Linked DNA regions of Ovis aries. The protein of the gene in region 1 interacts with the protein of each later gene in a pairwise test. Links are inferred from orthologs where the notes say so. Each region holds a gene or a part of one and is shown in the gene's direction. Other genes may lie near its edges.

Evidence for each region.
Region 2: the proteins of KEAP1 (region 1) and HSP90AA1 interact in a two-hybrid assay, tested with the Homo sapiens proteins (2 studies listed by BioGRID). The link is inferred for Ovis aries from reciprocal best matches to the Homo sapiens genes KEAP1 and HSP90AA1.

What each region holds. Positions count from the first base shown.
Region 1 is NC_056058.1:12,867,125-12,873,265, reverse strand, and holds the start of KEAP1 (kelch-like ECH-associated protein 1), read left to right. Parts: upstream 1-2,387; 5' UTR 2,388-2,659; intron 2,660-3,002; exon of another isoform or gene 3,003-4,710; 5' UTR 4,711-4,757; coding exon 4,758-5,396; intron 5,397-6,141. UniProt on the Homo sapiens protein: Substrate-specific adapter of a BCR (BTB-CUL3-RBX1) E3 ubiquitin ligase complex that regulates the response to oxidative stress by targeting NFE2L2/NRF2 for ubiquitination.
Region 2 is NC_056071.1:64,570,333-64,575,313, reverse strand, and holds the end of HSP90AA1 (heat shock protein HSP 90-alpha), read left to right. Parts: coding exon 1-80; intron 81-371; coding exon 372-692; intron 693-860; coding exon 861-1,026; intron 1,027-1,200; coding exon 1,201-1,391; intron 1,392-1,499; coding exon 1,500-1,647; intron 1,648-1,808; coding exon 1,809-2,077; intron 2,078-2,359; coding exon 2,360-2,824; 3' UTR 2,825-2,975; coding exon of another isoform or gene 2,976-3,085; 3' UTR 3,086-3,775; downstream 3,776-4,981. UniProt on the Homo sapiens protein: Molecular chaperone that promotes the maturation, structural maintenance and proper regulation of specific target proteins involved for instance in cell cycle control and signal transduction.

The sequences.
Region 1 (6,141 bases):
ATGCCAGTGCGCTTTGAGAACTGATTCTAATTTCCTGCCTGGTTACAGTATCCCCAGGCTTCTGTGATCTTCCAGGGCAACCTGAGCCACCCCACCCCATTGCTCAGTTGTTTGATGATGGTGTGATAGCAGAAGAGTTATTTACTTGTTCACATTCTACAAAATTCAAAAAGCACCAGTTCCCACTCCTGGATATATACACTTGGGAAACTTGCAGAGCCATTCTGTGGGTAAATGAGCTGAAATGTAAATACATCTCTCTTTTTACACAACTTTAGTATTGCTCTCCACCTTGCTTTGATCGTTTAATAGTATCATCTTGGAAATTGTTGCATGTCTAAATTTTGTACTTTGTTAATTGGAACAGCTTAGGTGCCTTAAACAACCAAAGTTTATTTCTCATAGTTCTGAAGGCTGGAAGTCCAAGATCAAGGTGTCAGCATGGAAAGCTTCTGGTGAGAACTCTCTCCCTATCTTATAGACAGCTGCCTTCTGGCTGTGTCCTCACATGGTGGAGAAAGATCCAAGTTTTCTGGTGTTTCTTCTGATAAAGGCACTAATGCCATCATGAGGGTCCCACCCTCATGACCTCATCTAAATCTACCTCCCCAAGCCCCCATCTCCAAATAACATCACTTATTTTTATATGTGGGCTCAGTCGCTCAGTTGTGTCTGACTCTGCGACCCCATGGACTGTAGCCTGCCAGGCTCCTCTGTCCATGGGATTTTCCCAGGAAGAATACTGGAATGGGTTGCCATTTCTTCCTTCAGGAGATTTTCCTGACCCAGGGATCAAACCCTAGTCTCCTGCATTGGTAGGCAGATTCTTTACCACTGTGCCACCTTGGAAGCCCACATACCATCATTTGTTATGTTAGGGCTTCAATATATGATGGTGGGGAGGGGGCACAGACCATAACATTTTTTTATGTCACTTTATTTTTTAATTGAAGAATAATTGCTTTACAGAGCATTTTTTTTCACATTTAAAAATATTGAGGTAAAACATTTACAAAGCTAATGGCGTCTTTTTACTGGCTGCATAGTATTTCATAGCAGAGATTACATCAGGGCCCTAGGAATGCACACATGTTGAGTCCAACATTTGGCATTTAAACACAGTATTGCAATAAACATCTATGTACATACATCCTCCTAAACATGTGCAGGGGTACCTTGGATAAATTACTGCACATATCACTGCTGGGTCTCAGGGCTTGTAGATGTTAATTTTGAGATATACCAGAGGTTTCCTTTGGCATGTGGAAAAGGGTGTGGGTTTGCTCACAGCCTCAGCCACTCCCCATACAGGATTTGGCAGTTATGCTATGGCACCACCTCTGGAACCACTCAGAACCACAGCTTCGCCACCGCCACAGGCATGGGAGGAGTAGCAAGGAACCCCAGGCCAGCCTTCTTCTGCGTGGGATTAATCCCAAACCCAGAGCAGGGAGGCAGAATCTTCCAAATTCACCCCGGGGGCAGGGGGAATCCTTTCTTAGACCAGTATCTGTTCAGTCTAGAGTTTCAGACGGACGGGCTCTTAAAGAAAAGAGGGAAAAAAAAAAAACCCACATACATTTAAAAGTTAACTTTATATAACAAAGAGCATAAATGGAAAATCAGTATCACTTTCCATGAAAAATAACAATCATTCATATTTATTGAGCGCTAGCATTCTCAATTAGTTCTCCCAATAATCTACCAGGTAGGTGCCTGTACTATTAACATCTATTGCTACGTGGTGTCCAACTCTTTGAGACCCCATGGACTGTAGCCCACCAGGCTCCTCTGTCCATGAGATTTCCCAGGCAATAATACTGGAGTGAGTTGCGATTTCCTTCTCTAGGAGATCTCTTCGATCCAAGGAACGATCCTGTGTCCCCTGCATTGCCGAAGGATTCTTTACCGTTGAGCCACCACGGAAGCCCTGTTAACATTTTAAGAGGAAGGAAATTGAAGCATGGAGCGGTTAAATTATAGGTCCAGCCGGGCAGAGCTAGAGTGGCAGAGCCGGAGTTCGAATTCCCAACTGCGAGCTCCTCGCGCCTCCAGATTGGAGATAAAAAATAAAAACAATGAAAACCCCAGTAGGTAGGTAGACAGCTCTGTCTGGATCCTTCGGCCACCTGAACGTGAGGCCTGCACTGTGTGGAGTTAAAAGAAGCGCAGGTCGTGGGAAGCGGACTAGCGCTGAGACGACGAAACCAGGCGGATGGAAGGGACTGCGAAGGGGTGGGGGGACAGGCCTGGTGGGCTTAGCCGTGCGCCCTTGCCCGCCGCCCTATTCCTCGCCCATGGGCGCCGGGCACCTGAGGGAAGGGCGGGGAATCACGACTCCTTCCCCGCCGCGCCCTCTCCGCCCTCTCCCCGCCTCCTTCTCGGGCGTCCCGAGGCTAACCCCCCACTCGACGGCCGCGACCCCGTAGGCCCCGCCGCCCCGGAGCCCAGCCACAGCCCCCCTTCCCCGCCGCCCCGGACAGTGGAAGCGCTCGCGGGTCTTCAACAGCGAAAGTCAGGCGGGAGCCGCCCCCGGGCCAGGCCACGGCCCCTCGGGCTTCCCGGAAGCTCGGTGCGCGGGTGGCACCAACGTGCCCGGAGCCACCGCCGCGCCCCCTGGCATCCCCACCCCGCGGTGAGAGTATCGGAGGCTACGCAGGTGAACGCGCAGGCGGCGGCGGGGAGGGGTATCCGGTGATCCCGGGTGCAGGGAAGCGCTGGGCCTCGAACCCAGGTCTTTGATTCTAGGCGGCTCCGACCACGCGGGCTGGGTGCGCCCAGGGCTGGGTCCTTGGCCCCGCCGCGATTATCGGCACTGCGGACGCCGCTCTGGGGCTGCGCAACTGGCAACAGCGAGCGTGGGCGGGGAAGGGCGGGGGGGGGGGGGTGGGGAGCGGCCCGCCGCCGTCTCCGCCGCCCGAGGCCCGGGGCCGCGGGGACTTTTATTCTGACACGGCCGGCTCCCGGCTCTGCTTAGTCATGGTGACCTGCGCGCGTTCCGCGCCTCCCCCCTGCGAGCTGCGATGGAGGCGCCCGGGCCTGGGCGACGGAGGCGGAGCCCGAGCGCGGCCATGGCGGGGTGAGTGAAGCGGCCCGCGCCCGGGCTGAGGGCACCGAGGGTCTAGAGTGCTCTGCGACCGTGGCCGGGGGCCGGAGCGCTGGGCGATGCGGGGCCCGGTCGCCTCGGGGTTTCCCGCGGCTCCGCGGACGGCCAGGAGGGCGCGGCTCGAGTCCGGACCTTTTGTTGGACGGCGCGACCGGCGGGTGAATCCTGGAGCGAGAGGCCCAGGAAGCGTCGCTCGGACGGAATCCCGGGGATCCCGGGGCGTTTGTGGCGGGGGGACCTTGGTCTGTGGCCCGGGGCTTGCGATGGAAAGGCCGCGGCGGGGTCACTTCCTCCCTTCTCTAGGCCTTGGCTGCGCCGGCGGGACATGCGCAGTCCCCCCACTTACCGCTTCTTGGGGGGGGGGGTTGGGGGGGGTGGCAGAGGGGGAAGTGTCCAGTGCCCAGGGGGCACCGTTGACCGTTTGGCTAAAGACCAAGAGGCAGGCCCGGGCCTCGGCTGGGGAGAGGCGGCCAAGCAGTGTCCAGGGCACCGTGGAAGAGGAGGGTGCTTTGGCAGGCACAGTGGAGTGGGCAGTCAGCCAGCCACAGCTTAGTGACCCCTGCGTAGTGCCAGGCCCCAGGCGGACTGCAGGGGAGGCACAGGAGAAGGTGGGCAGGACCCTGACCCACACAGGGCTACGTGCCCTCTGAATCCTGAGGCTCAGGGCCAGAGAGACCCTTCATCCATCAGCAAGCAAGCAAGGGAGCTAATTTCCATTCCTGATAAGTGGTGTGATGGAAATAAAACAGAGAGGAGGTGACTCTGAGTGGAGCCCAGGGAACAATAAGATGAAGAACCTCTTGTAGATCCCCTGCCTTCTCTTTGCTTGAGTTTTTCAAACCCAACTCACGCCCTGACCCTCCAGACTCCGCAGGGTTCACTGACACCCTCCCTTCACTAGTGTTTCTCATCACACTCTTCCCTGATTCTCCAGGTCAGCTCTCATTCTGCCTCTGAGTCTTTGCACTCACTGTTGCCTCTGCCTGGAAAGCTAACAACCACCCCCCCCCGCCCCGCCCCCTTCATAAGTTCATCCTTCTAGTCCCAGCTCCAAGACAGGCCTGGACTACCTGATTTTAAATAAACACCTGCACGCTACACTGTCGCTTATTTCACTTATAGCCCTTTCCTCCCCAGTGTTGGCTCCAGGGGGGCTCAGTGCATGTCTGTCTGGCTCCTTGCTGTGTCCCTGGTGCCTAGAACAGTGCCTGGACATGCCTGAGAAATGTTGATGGGGTGAATGAAGGAATGAGTTGGACATGCTGTGAGAAGGGATGGACCCCAGAGAGCTGGAACAGAATGGGCAAAGGGAACAGGTGGACGGGAGCTGACTGTGAAAGGCTTTGCAGGCCGTTGAAGAGTTTGGTTTTACTCTTCATGCCACAGAGAGTGGTCGGGGGGATTCTGAGCAGGGGAGGGGCACCATGTGACCTAGGATTTAAGGTGGGCCCTTGGACTGGTGGGGCCATGGGTCAGTTAGGGAGCTCAAATGAACACTGCTTTACCTGGGCTTGGGAAGGAAAAGTGGTCTCCGAGTCACTTTATCTTGGAAAAGAAGGCCTAGCCCCCAGCCCTGTGCCCAGCCCTGTGCTCTCCCCCTCCAGGCCCCTGAGTGCCAGTGGTGGCGTTGTCCCTTGTCACCTGGAACCCCATGCAGCCGGAACCCAGGCCTAGCGGGGCCGGGGCCCATACCCAATTCCTACCCCTGAGATCACAGCGCCCCGAGGGGGCAGGGGACACGGTGATGTACGCCTCCACCGAGTGCAAGGCCGAGGTGACGCCCTCCCAGCATGGCAACCGCACCTTCAGCTACACCCTGGAGGACCACACCAAGCAGGCCTTTGGCATCATGAATGAACTGCGGCTCAGCCAGCAGCTATGCGATGTGACGCTGCAGGTCAAGTACCAGGACGCGCCTGCTGCCCAGTTCATGGCCCACAAGGTGGTGCTGGCCTCATCCAGCCCCGTCTTCAAGGCCATGTTCACCAACGGGCTGCGGGAGCAGGGCATGGAGGTGGTGTCCATTGAGGGCATCCACCCAAAGGTCATGGAGCGGCTCATTGAGTTCGCCTACACCGCGTCCATTTCCATGGGGGAGAAGTGTGTGCTCCACGTTATGAACGGCGCTGTCATGTACCAGATCGACAGCGTGGTCCGTGCCTGCAGCGACTTCCTGGTGCAGCAGCTGGATCCCAGCAATGCCATCGGCATTGCCAACTTCGCTGAGCAGATCGGCTGTACGGAGCTGCACCAGCGTGCCCGGGAATACATCTACATGCACTTTGGGGAGGTGAGTGAGGGATGGGGACATGGCACCAGGGCTTCAGAGCAGCCTTGGAGGGCCAGGAAACAGACAGGTGGTCATCACCATCTCCCCTTGAGAGGTGAAGGATCAAGGCAAGGAGATGGAGAAAAGTAGGGTTGAGCTCCCAGTCTAGATGTCTGTGACAAATCTAGGAAACAGCTGAAGAAAGTGAGACTGTCATGGATGTCTGGGCTCCCTGGGGTCAAAGGTGGGGACAGAGGGCAGTGACTCTGACAGCAGTTCCACCGTAGGCTGCCCTGAGCAGGGCCTGACGTTCCAGGCAGTCAGTAAATATTTATTGAACACCCGTGACATGCTGTCAATGGCCAGTGTGACCCTTACACTGTGGTGGTTTTCTTTAGTCCACAGAGTATTGTGCTCAGACTAATCTTTGTTTCATTTTCATTTTCAAGTGGAGGAAGTTGTGAGTAGAGAACATGAGTGCTTGTTGAGTACTTGGTGTGGGCCAGCCTCTGTTCTAAGTGATTTCCAGCCTTTAAATCTGAGTCTTCCCAGCTATCCTAGGAGGAGGTATGCTTTGGAGTGCCTTCCTGGATTTTTTTTTTTTGCTACACCACACAGCTTGCAGGATCTTAGTTCCCTGACCAGGGATGGAACCCTGGTCCTGGCAGTGAAAGCCCTGAGTCCCAACCACTGGACCACCAGGGAACTCCCCCCTTCTGGAAATTTTTAAAATCATCCTCCCGTGGCTGGGACCAGCTAGGTGGAC
Region 2 (4,981 bases), on another chromosome or scaffold:
CTGAGTACCTGGAGGAGCGGAGAATAAAGGAGATTGTGAAGAAGCATTCTCAGTTCATTGGCTATCCCATCACTCTTTTTGTGAGTTTCCATGTATCCTGTATATGTAGGTTACTAAAGTGATTGAACTGAAATCCTGTTAGTCAGTCCTTCGTGCTTTTTATAAGAGATCCAAACTTGCACTAATTTCCTGGGCTGGTGGGTCGACTCCTGTCAAGGTTCCCAGGGCTGTTAATAGATCCTTCAGAAATGGGTGAGTAGCTTTCTGGCTACTAGTGTTTCTCAGGTGGTATTGGTGTAAGTGCTGCAGTCTCCTTTAGCCTTTTTCCCCCAGTTTTGTGGAGAGGTGACGTGATTTGTCCTCCTTTGAAGGTGGAAAAGGAACGTGATAAAGAAGTTAGCGATGATGAAGCAGAAGAGAAGGAAGACAAAGAGGAAGAGAAGGAGAAAGAAGAAAAGGAGTCTGATGACAAGCCCGAGATAGAAGACGTTGGCTCAGATGAAGAGGAGGAAGAGAAGAAGGATGGGGACAAGAAGAAGAAGAAGAAGATCAAGGAGAAGTACATCGATCAAGAAGAGCTGAACAAGACAAAGCCTATCTGGACCAGAAACCCTGATGACATCACTAACGAGGAGTATGGAGAGTTCTACAAGAGCCTGACCAACGACTGGGAGGACCACTTGGCGGTCAAGGTGAGTGACTGCCAAGTGCTTCCTTCTCTGCAGATGTTGGAGGCTGCATTCTGTTCCTCGATGCCCCATGCTTTGCCCAGAGTCATTGTTAGGTAACTCTGGTATACGTGACATTTTTTATTGCTTCAAGTTATTTGCCCTGTGTTAATCTTGATTGTTTTGTTATAGCATTTTTCAGTTGAAGGACAGTTGGAATTCAGAGCCCTTCTTTTTGTCCCAAGACGAGCTCCTTTTGACCTGTTTGAAAACAGAAAGAAGAAGAACAACATTAAGCTGTATGTTCGCAGAGTTTTCATCATGGATAACTGTGAGGAGCTAATCCCTGAATACCTGAGTAAGTATAGTCTGATAGAAGAAACTGTCACTGTTACTAGTCTAAGAGATTAATCCTGTCAGCTCCTGGTTTTTAAACTAAACATGGGGAAAATCATTCATCTTTGGTTTTTTGGGTTTACGGATTTGTCAGTTTTTGTCTTTGGAGTGACTGGCTGCATTTGGTCTGTTTCAGATTTCATTAGAGGTGTGGTGGATTCTGAGGATCTTCCTCTGAACATTTCCCGTGAGATGTTGCAACAGAGCAAAATTTTGAAAGTTATCAGGAAGAATTTGGTCAAAAAGTGCTTGGAACTCTTCACTGAACTGGCAGAAGATAAGGAGAACTACAAGAAGTTTTATGAGCAGTTCTCTAAAAATATTAAGGTTGGTTAGAAACACATTTGACTATTAAGAGTAGTAATCAAACTGATTTTCCTTTTGAAATAATTGAACACAGAGAAAGTCTTTCTAAAGCTAACATTGTCTTTTCAGCTTGGAATACATGAAGATTCCCAAAATCGGAAGAAGCTTTCAGAGCTGTTGAGGTACTATACGTCTGCTTCTGGTGATGAGATGGTTTCTCTCAAGGACTATTGCACAAGAATGAAGGAAAACCAGAAACACATCTATTACATCACAGGTACCTTACAGGCAATAACTGTGACAGTCGATCTTTTTGTGATCCCATAGGAACAGTTGCACGTTTTCTACCCGTGTGGTGGTACACATAATTTAGTAGGAGTTAATCTAACCGAAATAAATGAGACTGCTGTTAAAAGATATAAAACTTCTGTTTCTTAGGTGAGACAAAGGACCAGGTAGCCAACTCGGCCTTTGTGGAGCGTCTCCGGAAGCATGGTTTGGAAGTGATCTACATGATTGAGCCTATTGATGAGTACTGTGTGCAACAGCTGAAGGAGTTTGAGGGGAAGACCTTAGTGTCAGTCACCAAAGAGGGCCTGGAACTTCCAGAAGATGAGGAAGAGAAAAAGAAACAAGAAGAGAAAAAGACAAAGTTTGAAAACCTCTGCAAAATCATGAAGGACATTTTGGAGAAGAAAGTTGAAAAGGTGTGTGAATACCATCTTTTTTCTTATATTTTCTGGTTACTAACCCTTCTTAGGGGTGTTAGGTGTCTTTTGAACAAGTCACATATACATAGTCCTTAACATCTTTAAAGACATTAGAACTTAAAAGGAACTTAAAGCTTCGGATTTGCAATAGTATTTGCAAATAGTATTTGATTCATTAATACTCAAGTTCCTTAAATATTCAAATAAACCTGGTGACAAGCACTGAGAATGGAACACCTCTGTGCCCAGTTATCGCTGTATACCTTTTTTTTATGAAAGGTGGTCGTGTCCAACCGGCTGGTGACCTCCCCGTGCTGCATTGTCACAAGCACATACGGCTGGACAGCAAACATGGAGCGGATCATGAAGGCGCAAGCCCTGAGAGACAACTCGACGATGGGTTACATGGCAGCCAAGAAGCACCTGGAGATCAACCCTGACCATTCCATCATCGAGACCTTGAGGCAAAAGGCAGAGGCTGACAAGAATGACAAGTCTGTGAAGGATCTGGTCATCCTGCTGTACGAAACAGCGCTCCTGTCTTCTGGCTTCAGTCTGGAGGATCCCCAGACACACGCCAACAGGATCTACAGGATGATCAAACTTGGTCTTGGTAAGCCTTGTGCAAGTACCATGTGTAATACCATTGGGGGAAAACCTAAACAGATGACTGTTGAAAAGGGTGAACTTTCAGCAATTTCAACAAAGTTGGGCACTCTTGTTTTTCCATTTGCAAAACACTGAAGTCACATGAGTTAAAAGGGGGTAAATAAGCCCCTTTCGTCATGTCGCTTCTAATTCGCTCAGCCTTGAGAAGCGGGTATGAGGAACCTGTAGTGTTGGACTAATTATGCGGCTTGAAGAAACTTAATCCGTGTTTTTTATTTCCTTCAAGGTATTGACGAGGATGACCCCACTGCTGACGACAGCAGCGCTGCAGTCACTGAGGAAATGCCGCCCCTGGAAGGAGACGACGACACGTCCCGCATGGAGGAAGTAGACTGAGCGCTGCCGAGGCTCGCCTGGCGGTGTGTTCAACGCGCTGTCTCCGTTCCCTCCAATATGTTCTCGAGTATTTCTTTATTTTTGTTAACATTTAAAATCTGTATGGCATGACAACTGCATAAGGGGAGGATAAGATTTCTTTATACTAAGTGTGATACTGTGATACTTTTAGCACTAAAGCAGAGCTCGTTTTTTCCTAGTTTCATGTTGGCTTATTTTAACAGATGGAAGTAGTTAACCTTTGTTGTAAGGTGTGTGTAACCTCTGTTAACTTTGTGGTCTGAAGTGTTTAGCTATCAAGCGGATTCTTTAGTAGACCAAAATTTTCTGTCACTGAAGTGTTCTGAAGTATATACCTTGGTGTTTAAAAGAAACACTTATTACAGCAAGTTTTCATCTTCTGGGATATACTTTTTAAAACTTCCATCCCCTGTAGTTATGACTGCATGTGCCAGGCCTCTAGAAGTTAGTATGTTAAGCTGAACCAACTTGATTGGAGTCACTGTCCATACATAGGGCTTGTTTTCCAAAGAAAAATATTGTTTAGAGTAGCAAAATTATAAGCCTGCCCAGGCATGTTGTAAAGCCTCTGGAAAGGTAACTTGGAGCCAGTTTTGTGAATGGAAATGTAGTGCTCAAGTCACATTCTGCTTCAAAAAGTTGTAACAAATACAGATGAATTAAAAGAAATGATGTGTGATGTCTTACTTGTGGGGGTGGTCCCAGAATGTAAAACATGAGGGGTGCGCCTCTTCCCTAGAGGAGAGTCAAGGGAGCAGGTGGTTGGTGTGGCCTCCCTAGAGCCTACTGCTGTGACCTTAGGGTGCTCAGGCCACATGTTTGGGGGTGAGCCTCTATACTTAAAAGACAGGAGAATGGAACTTGCTGCTTTTGTGTCCATGTGTTAGACTTTATAATAACATCATTGTGCTTTAGAATTTCAATGTCTGAGCTGCACTCTGATGGTATTGGTGAAACGGGATGTGTAATAACCGCCCTTTTACTGCCTTGCCCTTATGAACCACAGCTGCTGAACACCTTCCCACCTGAAACCGTCTCTGCTGCTTGTTCTCTGGTTCTTTATTGAGCCTCAGGAAAGGTGTGTCCAGGAGGCTGCTGACAGACATAAGCACACAGCAGTTGGAGAGGGCAGGGGTGAGCATTAGAGTACTTGGTGGGAGGTCTACCCAGGATTTGGACCTAGAGTCAGAGAGGCCTGGAGAGTCCACAGACTGGAAGGTCTGTCATGGATAGTAAGTGCTGGTGGGTAGTAAGTGCCTGGGTGGGTAAGCAATAACCTTCTTTGATCCTTACCAATCTAATGCAGCAGCAGTTTTTAACTCCCCGGAGGGCTTCCCTGATAGTAAAGAATCTGCAACATGGGAGATCCTGATTCAATTCCTGGGTCAGGAAGATCTGCTGGAGAAGGGACAGGCTACCCACTCCAGTATTCTTGGGCTTCCCTTGTGGCTCAGCTAGTCTGGTGCCAGTGGTCCTGCTGTTCAGGAATTAATAATTGAAGGACAAAAAACAAGTTCTCTTATTTCCCACCTCTAGTAAGGAGACTAAGAATTCCATTCAAATTAAAAGTATTAGTCCTCTATAAAGTGTCTCCAGTGGAAAAAAAATGCCCACAGAGCATTTCCCCCCTGAATTATGGAAAGGCGTGTTAATGGCAGGCGTGTAATTGGAACTGCCCCCCAGCAAGCCCTGTGCTGGAGATGGACCACGGAGACCACAGGTGCCCACCCCTGGGGGTGAGAAGATGAGGTAAAGGACACAAACACCAGGCTGGTGCTGACCTTCAATTGTCAAGGGGTCCCCAACCTACTGCTGCCAAGTCCAGTCTTCACGCTAATGTAACTAGTCCCACGCTGATGAGTGTACAGAGCGCTG